Coturnix japonica: one gene and its partners. The protein of the gene in region 1 purifies or fractionates together with the protein of each later gene. This does not show direct contact. Links are inferred from orthologs where the notes say so. Each region holds a gene or a part of one and is shown in the gene's direction. Other genes may lie near its edges.

Region 1 (3,816 bases):
AGTATATTGCTGGCAGGAGGGAGGGAAATTCTTTTCTTGATTCACACTTGGCTGGCAGGGTCCCATCACTTAGAGAAAACACCTCTTCGCTACTTTATTTCCTCTCTCTGCTGCTTTTCCTGGAATCCTACTTGTGTGCAGCAACATGAACAATAGACTGGCCATTTCCTCAGTCCTCCCTGAGATGCAGCCTTCTGTAATTTTAACTAAAAAGTTGCATTCCTTTGTATCTCTGATGTGTTCTGATGTGTGTGCAGGAACAAGATTCAGGAGCTCAGATTTAGGACACAGCTGACTTTCAGTCACAACTGCTCATGACATCTGGGATATTAGACTGTAACTTCTAAGTATCAATTTGCTTTCTGAAGAGCCTGGGCTGCTCTGTGTAATCACGTTGTGTTTGCATTCCTGCTGTACCCTTTAAGGTCCTGCTGACTGTAATAGTCAGGAAGGACTTTTTGGTGCTTTTGGATGTTCCTTGTTTCTGAGGGTGTCTATGGAGGGTTAAGAAAACCTTTAAGCTGCATATATTCCTTGTGCATGGCAGGTTTCTATGGGAATTAAACAGTGAGATGGGTATTGGAAGAACTTTTCCCATTACAGAAGATTAAATCTCCTGGAGAGACTCCTCTTACCCTTCATTTTTCTGTAATTCAGATGAGAATCACTTCCTCCAGAGAGTATTCTATTAGATTTCTCTTTGGATGAGAGATAACATTAGCTGTTAGGAGGGAAGGGGGAGTGGAGGACAGCTGGAGGAAATCAGTCTTTCTCTAGCACTGTGAGGTGTTTGTGCTGAAACCCTAAATGCTAATAGCTTACAGAAAGACATCTACTCCCAGTCACCCTGCCTGTAACCTCAGTTAGAGCTTATTCTTACCTCTTAAGAATCTACTCTTAACTGTTCGACTTGTATTTATTTATGCTTTTTCTTTTTTTTCCTTTAGTTCTTCAGCTTCCCGGCTGTTGTAGCACCATTCAAGTGCTCCGTTCTTCCTCTCAGCCAGAATCAGGAATTCATGCCTTTTGTCAAGGAATTATGTAAGTGAAAAACAGCACTCTGGGCTCAGTGGTGGTGTGCACTGGAGAGAGAGTTTTATTCCTCAGTGCTGGAGGGGAAAAAATAGCACTGGGTTCATGTTGCTCTCTCACGTGCAAAGGGAAAGCCATTAAACTAAAACTTGTTAGCTTTGAGCATCTATGAGGCTTTTCAAACCAGCCTCAAAACTAATCAACTCCTTGGCTTTCCCTGTGTTGGTTACAGTGTACAAACCAATTACTTTTTTTTTTTTTTTCTATCAAAGTTTCCACTTGTGCCATCTAAAAGTAAATACATGAAGGACGGAAACACAGGCTACCTATCAGACAGTGTGTTTTTTTTGCTGTCTGCATCAGACTTTGCTCTGGACCTTGCCTCCCCATGCCAAGCCTGCCCCTGCACATGTGTTAGGCTGGCTTGTTCTTGTGTTAAAGCAAAGCTATGGGAATGCAGTGACAGGTTGAAGGCAGTGACCTTCCTGTTGGTGTTGCCCTTTGGATGAGGGTTGAGTGATGCACTTGTGGAGTGGATCTGAACTTGGAGTATTGGGAGGGACTTCTGTCCAAATCAAAATGAGGACCTGTGATATTGCTTAAGACCAGGGACACACAGTGCCTCACTTCAGGTAGTGCTGTGAGGGTGTGGGAAGACTCTGCTACAAACATGTTGCCTGCTGAGTATGTAATGAGTCCTGGTGATTTCCAGCTTATTTCTCTGCTTATTGCAGCTGAAGCACTCACCAGGAATGGCATTTCTCACAAGGTGGATGATTCCTCCGGGTCCATCGGCCGACGCTATGCCAGGACTGATGAGGTTGGCGTGGCCTTTGGGATCACAATTGACTTTGACACCGTAAACCGAACGCCTCACACTGCCACGCTGAGAGACCGGGACTCAATGCGCCAGATCCGAGCTGAGGTAAAGGGCTGGCAGATGGGTTTTGCTGCTGCCAAATTGGTTTCTTACAGAGTAAGGGAGATGCTGCTGATCCACCAGTATCTCTGGTCTACATGGGAGCTGTCTCCAACTCCTTTAGGCAGTGTAGCTGTTCTGAGAAATCCTCCAGGGAAGAGATTGGTTTTCAGGGTACTTTTGAATCCACAAGCACCAAAGGCAGAAGAACTGTGCTTGCTGTATCCTGGCTGACAGAGCACAGTGCAAGCACACTTTCTCTCTTCCTGCTGGTCTTTTCAGCAGCAGTCAGACTGGTGAAATGTTGCCCTAAAGGCTTGCTTGCCCTAAGCACACTTTGCTGAGATGGTTGAAATGCAAAGACTGCAATAGGAAATCTCCTTACAGCAGTTTCGTTGCCTGTGAGCAGAACTCTGTGCCCTTCTATGTTCTTGGTGGGAGCCAGGGAGTTTGGCTCCTATTGCAGCAGGAGGCAGTGCTGAGCTCTTCCAGTTCAGATCACTGTAACCTAGTGTGCTTCTCAGAGCACCCCTCTGCCTCTGTATCCCCTGCATAACCCTCACTGCCACATAGCATTGTCATCACCAATTTTTTACCAATTTTCTGGTTTCTTAAGCCAACTCTTCCCAATATTGCCAGCGCACAGTGAGGAACAATGAAAAGGCAACCAACAACTCCTTTTGTTCTGGTCTTAGAGTAAGTAGGGCCTGGCAAACCCATGGCTTTCAGCATCTCCTGGATGTGTGTATTGTTTTCTTTCCCTTACAAAACTGTAACATAGCGTTAAAAGGGATTAATCGTGCTGTGACCCACAACACTGACTATTTTTCCTCATGTGTTACCTTGAGTAACTGAGCAGTCTACTGAGATGACACAGACTGTGATATAAGTCATCCTGTTAGCTAATGGTGCTGGTGTGTTGGCTTTATTTCTTTTTGACTTACCCACATTCCCCAAATATCCAGCAGGACAAACAGATTCTGATGGGTTCACGTTCCATTTGTGTTTGTGATTTGTCTGCAGGTCTCTGAACTTCCTGCCATAATTCGTGACCTGGCGAACGGTTATCTAACTTGGGCTGACGTGGAGGCCAAGTACCCACAATTTGAGGGACAAGAGACTGGCAAAAAGGACACAATAGAGGAATAAAGGAAAGGGACTGAAATAATTCCCCTGTCACATGTCCACTTTTTACTGTTCATGTTAATATGAAATAAACTTACCATGTATTATTCCAAGCTGCATTGTTTGTGCACACAGGGACTATTTGATTTTCTTTTTCCTCAACCGCTGCCTGAATTTAACTTTAAAAATAACTGCAGTCAAAGTAAAAGGTGTTATGAATAAAAGAGGCCGTGATATTATGCCTGCTTCTGTGTGTTCGTGAAGCCTTGTGCTTTCTTCAGAAGCGTCTTGTGGTTGGTTTATTTGTTCCTCATGTTGATTGTGGCTGTTACAGGATTATTACAGTCCCTCAAGACCACGCCACCCCGTCATCAGTTCACATCACTTTGGATGCCCGTGCAAGGTGCTGCATGCTGTCTGGCCTTGTCCATGAAGGGATGATGAAGGTATCAATCCTCTCACCACTTTTTGGTGCCTCTTGCAGCTACCATAAGAGATGGGGCTCAATGTTTTTTTTCTGTTGCAGGTCTTCAATGATATTCTGCAGAATTAGGAGCACTTGCCTGCAGGTGAGCAAGAGGAGTGGGAAATCCAGTTCTTGTTCTTGCTTGGCGTGGCTTTGCTTGCTGAGGGTATGAGCTGTAGCTGGTGCTGTCCAGCCTAGAGAAGAGGAGGCTACAAGGTGACCTGATAATGGCCCTTCAGTATGTAAAGTGGGGAAATGAGAAAGAAGGGGACAG
Region 2 (3,650 bases), on another chromosome or scaffold:
CTCTTTATTCTGGTGGCTTTACGCACTGTGAAGATTTGTAATCCCTGCTGTTGGGTGGGTGCCAGCTGCCAGGCTGAACTGTGTCTTCCTCTGTCTGCAGAGTTCATCGTCATCCACAATGGCATCATCACCAACTACAAAGACCTGCGGAAATTCCTGGTGAGCAGAACCCTGGCGTTGTTGGGAGGGATCAGGAGCCCTCCATGCACTTCCAAGCTGCATTAGCTGTATTAATGGAGTGGGAAGAAAGGATGGATGGGTGCATGGAAGGGGGAAAATGAAAGATGGAAGGGAAAATGGAAAGGAAGGAAAGGAGGGTGAGTGGTGATAAAGGAAGGCAGGAAAAGAGGCATGAAGACAGGAAATAAGAAAAAAGAAAGGGCACAAAAAGAAGAAAAGTAGAGAAAGAAGAAGAGGAAAGAGAATGCAGGAACAGAGGAAGCAAAGGAGGAGGCAGGATGGGAGGAAAAAAGGGAGAGTTGGAAGAAAGAGAGGGGATGGAAACGGAGGGCTGGTTACCCAATGTGTTCTGTTGCTGCAGGAGAGCAAGGGCTATGACTTCGAGTCAGAGACAGACACAGAGAGCATTGCCAAACTGGTGAAGTACATGTATGACAACCGGGACAGCGACGACATCAGCTTCACCACCCTGGTGGAGAGAGTCATCCAGCAGCTGGTAATGCATGGGGTGCAGTGTGGGGTGGGGACACAGGGATGGATGGGGACAGACATGCACACATCCCAGGGGAGAGCTGTTAGAGACTGGGTCAGGTCCAGGCAGTGTGTGCTTGAAGTTTGCCTGGTCTCCATCTGGAAGAGATGCTGACCCCTGGTGGGAACTCCAGCGCACAGCCTGGCTTCCACGTGTCAGCTGTGGCTGAACTGGTGCAGGACCAGGTTCCACTACAGTGCACATCTCTTCCCAGAGCAGGTTGCTCAGGAGGTGTTTTTTTTCCCCCAGTGGTTTCCCTGGCAGAAGCTGCAGTAACTGCAGACAGGACCAAATGTTGCTTTTTATCAGGTTTTTTCCTTTGTAAGTTCCCTGTGAGCTAACACAGGAGTGCTTGCAGGGACTGCCAGGCAGTTCAGAACTCACTGAGTGGCTGAGGAGGAGCCCAGGGTGCCTGGTGGCTCCAAATGATCAGTGAAATCAGCTCAGTATCTCCAACATATCCACAGAAATGTGGGTGTAGTCTATATACTGGGATGCCTAAAACCTTTTCCTGACCTCAGATGAAGGGATAAACCACTTGTATTTCTTTCATTCTAGGAAGGTGCTTTTGCCCTCGTATTTAAGAGTGTTCATTATCCTGGTCAAGCAGTTGGTACAAGGTAAGTATCTGTATATTAAAAAAACAGTGTTGGTGCACCCAACCTTGAGGTAACTTCCCTCCTCAGCCAAGATAGAAGACAACAGGGGTTGTTCTCATGTTATATGGTAAGGTGTATGGTGTATATAGTAGGATATATCTGGTAGGGTCAGGTTGGCTGTTGTTTTTTACTTCCCCAATTGTTAGAACAGATAATTCCAAAGAGCATATGGGCAAGTGCTCCATTTGACTTGCAGATGAGCCAGCCTGGAGTCCAAGTTTCCTTCTTCACCTTTGAATGTGAGGATCAGTCCAGTTGATTTAACCATATACATTCACGTCATCATTTGGGTTACTCTCACAGAGTTAATGCTGGATCTGGGGCACGTTTTAGCTCAGCAGGGTGCTGTGCTGGAGGACAGCAGTCCCTCCAGGTTGGGTCAAAATGGGATGAACCTTTGGGTACTGAGGACTGTCACTTGGTGTCTTGCAGACGAGGCAGCCCTCTGCTCATAGGAGTGCGCAGTGAGCACAAGCTGTCCACTGACCACATCCCCATCCTGTACCGTACAGGTAAGTGTGAACTTTATGTCCTCTGACTTCAAGCAAAACACATCTTAATGCATTACAGTTCAACCTAGATACTTACATTCATATTATGTGGCATGTTGGCATTCAGAAGTTTATTTGCTTTCCTGAACATTCTTTGCAAGCACTGTCACAAGCCTTATTTTATTCCCCCATAATGAAAATTGTTAAAACCATTCAGTTACTGAGCACTGAGTTATTCTCTGAGCGCTGCAGTGATCGTAAGGACTGTCCCAGTATGTCTTCCTCCTTCCTAATGTTGCTGCTAATGATACCTTGCTGTAATATGAGGAACCAGTCCCAGTAAGCTGTCTTGTTTCATCTTGATTGATGCTGGATTATTAGCGATAATTCTTTATGTATGTATATAACACACTTTTTTTTTTCACCCCACTGATCTGAATTTTGTTTCCAATTACACTTTCAGCTGTTCAGTCTATGGATCATTCTTTTGATGGAATATCCATAAATGTGGAGGAAGGTGCCTACCAAAGAAAATCTTAGTTGACATTTCAGACAAATCCTCCAGTTTGTTAGGAAAGGAATCAAAAATGAAGCAAATAGGCATTGTCTCTTTACTGTGTGGTTATTGCTTTCCATGTAATCTAGTGAAACAAATGGGATAACTGGAATCTGGATCAGGAGCACCATGAGCAACACACAGGAAAGTCCACTGAATCTGTTTCAAGTATTGTGCCCTAATGCTTGGCAGTGAGGTTTACCTGTGTCTGCAGCTCTGTTAACGTGGCTGTATTTGTTCAGCTTGAAGATATGGGGCACTTATTAGGACAAACCATTTTTAATCTCATATTAAATACTTCATCACACCTTCATGTGTGATGTGCTGAACTGAGTTCACACCTGAAGCTGGAAAGAGCAGCTGTGTTAATCTGTGCAGCAGTGCCTTTGTGCTTGGAGTTGTGGTAAGGGAGAGAGATGGTATTAAAATATACTCAAAACATATCCCTCCTCTCCAGTTTTCATTATATTGTGTTGACTTCCCATGGCATTTTAACTCTTTGGTTTAGAAGGGGAAGGATGAAAAGATTCTGTGTTGCTCATAGATTCTTTCATTGGGAACCTATCGATTACCCATAGATAATTGGGTCATCTCTGGGCAAATAGATAAGAGCTATAACTGGTTGATAACACTCATTATAACTTTTCAGCCACTCCTTGGTTAAGATACCGATATTATCCATTCCTGTTCCAGCTTAGAGGAAAGCATTGCAACATAGTAAAGTCAATGCGGGGAAATGCATTTTGAGAAACAAAATTTGCATGTCTTGATCAAGTATGGGTACTTCTGTTGGAGACTGACCACTAACGCCTTCACTCTGTCCTTTCTTTCATTTACTGACCTAATGAAGTGGAGGGCCCTAAACTCTTGGCTGAGTGGAACCTTCTTATGAAGTATCAACATGAAAGCAGTATTTTTCCTTTACATGTGCAGCACTGTGAACCTCAGCATTACGTTACCAAATCAAGTTGGTTCTTAGTCCTGTGTCCTTCAGTCCTTGTAGGTACTTCCCTCCCAGCAGTGTAAGACAGCTGTGCAAATTCTGAATCCAACTGAGAAGCTTGTATTCGGTATCTCAGGAGCAATGCCAAGTGCTTAATCATGAATCCCTCATCTGTGTCTGAGCGCATTAGCTCAGCCAGACTGAAACAGGTTTGCATTACTGCTGGTGGTGCTCAGGTGGCGTGAAAGAATGGCATCCAGTGACAAGAATCACTGAAAGAAAGAGCAAT
Region 3 (3,650 bases), on another chromosome or scaffold:
TTTCCTTCTTTCCACATCACTTTTGCTGTTCGTGGCTGTATAAGCGGTCAGGGCAGAGAGGGTATTTTTCCCTGCCCACTTATTAATGACATGGAAATTCCCTCAGAAGGCTCTGATTATCAAATTTACTTTTGGCAGAGGTTTTGAACAAGTATCGATCGGTAAGAGATAGGGCTCCCTAAGGAGGCAGGGTTGAGTGCAAGCATGTGAACAGAAAATGGCTCTTATGGATGCTGGAGAATAGAACTGGAAGTCCCAACATTCAGTTCAATTTGGATGCAGTCCCTGTTCTTTACCTCCCCAGCCTTTGCTCAGCTAGCATTAACTGAGCTCTGTTGGTGGCCCTGGGTCTCTTTAGGTAGAGCTGCTGCTCTCAGCTGCTCCCCGAGAGGGATTGCAAAGAAGAGGTCGTGCATTCTGAACAAATGGTTGCTGAATTGTTCCCACATGTGTTAATAAAATTGTGACCCAGTAAAATTGTATTTCTGGCTCCTTGTTTTCTTCCCTGTGATTTCTAGGCCTGTCCACTTTACTTGCAATACTTTATCATCTTGTTTTCTAATAGTAACAAAGATATACTTAAGGTTGCATAATGACATAAAATCAGGCTGTTCTTGCAGGCTAAAATATGTCATGTTCCTCTTTCTCAGTAGAACATTGAAATAATGGGATAAACATTTCCTCCCCAGCGGTGAATTGATGCATTTTGAGTAACTGCACAACCACTGAGCAGGGTTCTGGGATTTTGTACTGAACTCCAGGAGGAGAAAAAAGAAATGGTGTCTGTTTTCCATGAAATGACCGAAGAAGTAAAGAGAGTGGGTTCAAATCAGATTGTAAAGAGAGTTTTCTGATTTTTATTTCTCATTTATTTATTCTGTTCTAGTTAGCTCACAGTGTTACGTGCTTCTTGCTGTGAGTGCTTTGAGTTGTGCTCAGCTTTCCGGGAAGTAGCCCATATAGAAAAAGACCTATTTGAAATGAATCTGTTTCTTTCTTAGACTGCAAGAAGCTGCAAATCATTGAGGGCTTTTAGAGAAGGGAGGGGAGTCAAGGCAAAAATAAATAAAAATTGCCCCTGATACTTTTTAGACTGTGTCTTATTTTATCTTTATGATTTTTCATGAGCCTTATTATTGAAATCCTATTCTTAGCGTTGTATTTTTGAGCATGAGGACGAAACAATGTGTTTCTCTTGAATTTTTAGAAGGCTGTGAGGACCCTTAAGAGAGTATTAGCACTTAAATCTCAGCTGCAAGGAGAACTGACTCTAAAAGTGATTTCAATATTGATGAGCACTTTGAATATCTGCTTGTTATCAAGTCTAGTGTTATATATGGAAAAAAAAAAAAAATGATGTGCCTGACTGCTTATTACTGTTATTAGAGGGTTATACGAGCAGTCTAATGATAGCACTGTACATGAGAACTTCTTTGTGAAAATGTCAGTGGTCCTGTAATGTGAAATGCTCGGCTCATTAAATGTGCAAATGGCAGTTTCTGGAGCTTGTGCCCTGTTGACCTGCACAGATTACTGCAACTGCGTAAGGCCGAGCTGTGAGTTACTTGGGCTGTGGTTCTTGCTGTGTCGAGCAGCCCACTCTCCAGTTCGGTCTCCTACCTATTATCTAGTAATTGCATGTAAATGGCAAGCAGCGCTGCTTTAGAATTATGCTAGGAAAAACCCGCTGCTGGCTCCTTTCCCAGGTCAAATCTTGTTGGTTTTTTATTTTTAAATTCACCACATTATTTTTTTATTTCTTGCTTTCCTGCAACTAAAACCAAAAGCAAAGCCCCTCCTGTGCGTGGGTTGGTTTTCAAAGATGAGGGATTTGTTGTTGTTTTATGTAAAATACCAGAGGTCTATTTGCAATATATTTCTTGTTATGTAGATACTTCAAAAACTGGGAAAACATGTTGTTTTGTTTGTTTGCTTTAAAAGCTTGGTTGCTCCTTAGATGCAGTATGAGGGTAGAAATGGGAAACCTTCATTACTTCCTTTTCCAGGGCAGTCCCTTAAACCTTCCACACTTCATTGCGCGTTCTCTGGCAGCTGGTAAATCTTGGAAGCGTGTTCCCTATGATCACACTTTACCTCTTTTTCTTTTTCTTTTCCTATCTTTAAAATTATAAACATCCTTGTTAATTAAAAAAGTGCCAGTTTGGTCCATCTCAAATTCATTTGGATGACCTGATGGAAAATGAGTCTCTGTAACTTGCAGGTCGTACTGACATGGAAGGAAAGGACACGTTCCTGCACTGGATATATAGACAAAAAAAAAAACCAACTAAGTGTATTAATTCTTCCTAGATTTGGGCTTTGTAGTTCTTCGATAGCTGCAATAGAGAGTGATGTAATTTCTGCCTCTTCAGTTTTGTGAGATAGGCATGTTGATGTACCTCATCTGTGTTACAGGCACCTCATTAGTTTCCTATCTGCATGCTTTCAGGGCACTGGTGTTGCTTCTAAAATCCTTCTAAAATCCTAAAAGTACTATTTTGTGTCTGATTGCTCTCCATTTCCTAACTATTCATGACTGGAGTCACCTATAGAATCATAACTATTGATGTTAAACACAAATATTAATGTGCTGTCATCTGGAGTTTAATGTGAGATGTACTGATGTTGCATGATGGTGTGTGTCCAGTGCTGCTTCAGCTAGGGAAGTCATGGAAGAGGCAAAGATCATCAGTCATAATTTAATGAGATAGAAGTGGTTGGCTTAAGCAAATAATTCCTTGCTTATTTTAAGTTGATTGCGTTAAGTAGTCGTGTCACGTATTTATGTGCGTAAGAAGTGGGATGTAGCAACTAATTTCCATAGCAGATTTTGTACTCTGCATTAATAATAAATACCTATTTCTCTATAAATTCTGTTTGTCAGACTGGTGAAGTTCTTTCTTGAACAAGTAATTGCAAAGAGGGAAATGCTTCCATGCCAGAGTCAGGAGTTAGAAAAACTTACTGTCTGCTAATGAAGTGAAAACTGGACCTCGGCTTCCCTTGTAATAACCTGACTGGTCTCATTTTCTTTTTCAGAACTGATAAACAAAACTGACTTGCTTAGTCTCAGTGGAAAGACTCTGCATGTGACAACAGGGTCAGCACCTGCTCTCATCAACTCTCCTGATGCTCTTCTCTGCCAATATATCAACTTGCAGTTAGTAAATGCAAAACCACAAGGTATGATGGATACCAATCTCTTCTCATATACGGGTTGAGACTTTTGTGATAGGTCTGTACATCATGTCTTAGTGATGAAGATGTCTGTGCACATGTTCATTTCTATGCAGTGGTTTTGCTTTTAGCGTGTATTTTCTAATAAACAGTGTCTATACTGAGCTTTTCTCTGTAGTTTTCTGAAAGAGAGATGAGAGCTGGCTTCAGATAAAGATTGGTGTTTAAACAAGAGCCCTTCTGCATTGCTTTCCCACTTCTGACAATCAGTTCACCTGTACAGCTTATTTTAAAAGGCTGAGTCTAAAATTGAACAGAAATTAACAGGGAGGTGAAGAAGGAGCCAGCTCTTCACATAGATGCTCTAACAGCTTGTAAAGCATCTCTAATTGTTAGTTAAAAGCCATAAGAGTTGCATTGTCAGCCTGCTCTTGGAGCATAGATATGTGCTTGGAATTGTTTCCCAGCTGCTA

Evidence for each region.
Region 2: the proteins of GARS1 (region 1) and GFPT1 fractionate together in Homo sapiens (co-fractionation; 3 studies listed by BioGRID, with this or other methods). This does not show direct contact. The link is inferred for Coturnix japonica from reciprocal best matches to the Homo sapiens genes GARS1 and GFPT1.
Region 3: the proteins of GARS1 (region 1) and IARS1 fractionate together in Homo sapiens (co-fractionation; 3 studies listed by BioGRID). This does not show direct contact. The link is inferred for Coturnix japonica from reciprocal best matches to the Homo sapiens genes GARS1 and IARS1.

Annotation. Positions count from the first base shown.
Region 1 is NC_029517.1:3,841,840-3,845,655, reverse strand, and holds the end of GARS1 (glycine--tRNA ligase), read left to right. Parts: intron 1-947; coding exon 948-1,041; intron 1,042-1,766; coding exon 1,767-1,957; intron 1,958-2,974; coding exon 2,975-3,100; 3' UTR 3,101-3,315; downstream 3,316-3,816. UniProt on the Homo sapiens protein: Catalyzes the ATP-dependent ligation of glycine to the 3'-end of its cognate tRNA, via the formation of an aminoacyl-adenylate intermediate (Gly-AMP).
Region 2 is NC_029537.1:1,406,168-1,409,817, forward strand, and holds part of GFPT1 (glutamine--fructose-6-phosphate aminotransferase [isomerizing] 1), read left to right. Parts: intron 1-100; coding exon 101-159; intron 160-541; coding exon 542-676; intron 677-1,270; coding exon 1,271-1,332; intron 1,333-1,803; coding exon 1,804-1,883; intron 1,884-2,325; coding exon 2,326-2,379; intron 2,380-3,650.
Region 3 is NC_029527.1:2,288,265-2,291,914, forward strand, and holds part of IARS1 (isoleucine--tRNA ligase, cytoplasmic), read left to right. Parts: intron 1-3,039; coding exon 3,040-3,183; intron 3,184-3,650. UniProt on the Homo sapiens protein: Catalyzes the specific attachment of an amino acid to its cognate tRNA in a 2 step reaction: the amino acid (AA) is first activated by ATP to form AA-AMP and then transferred to the acceptor end of the tRNA.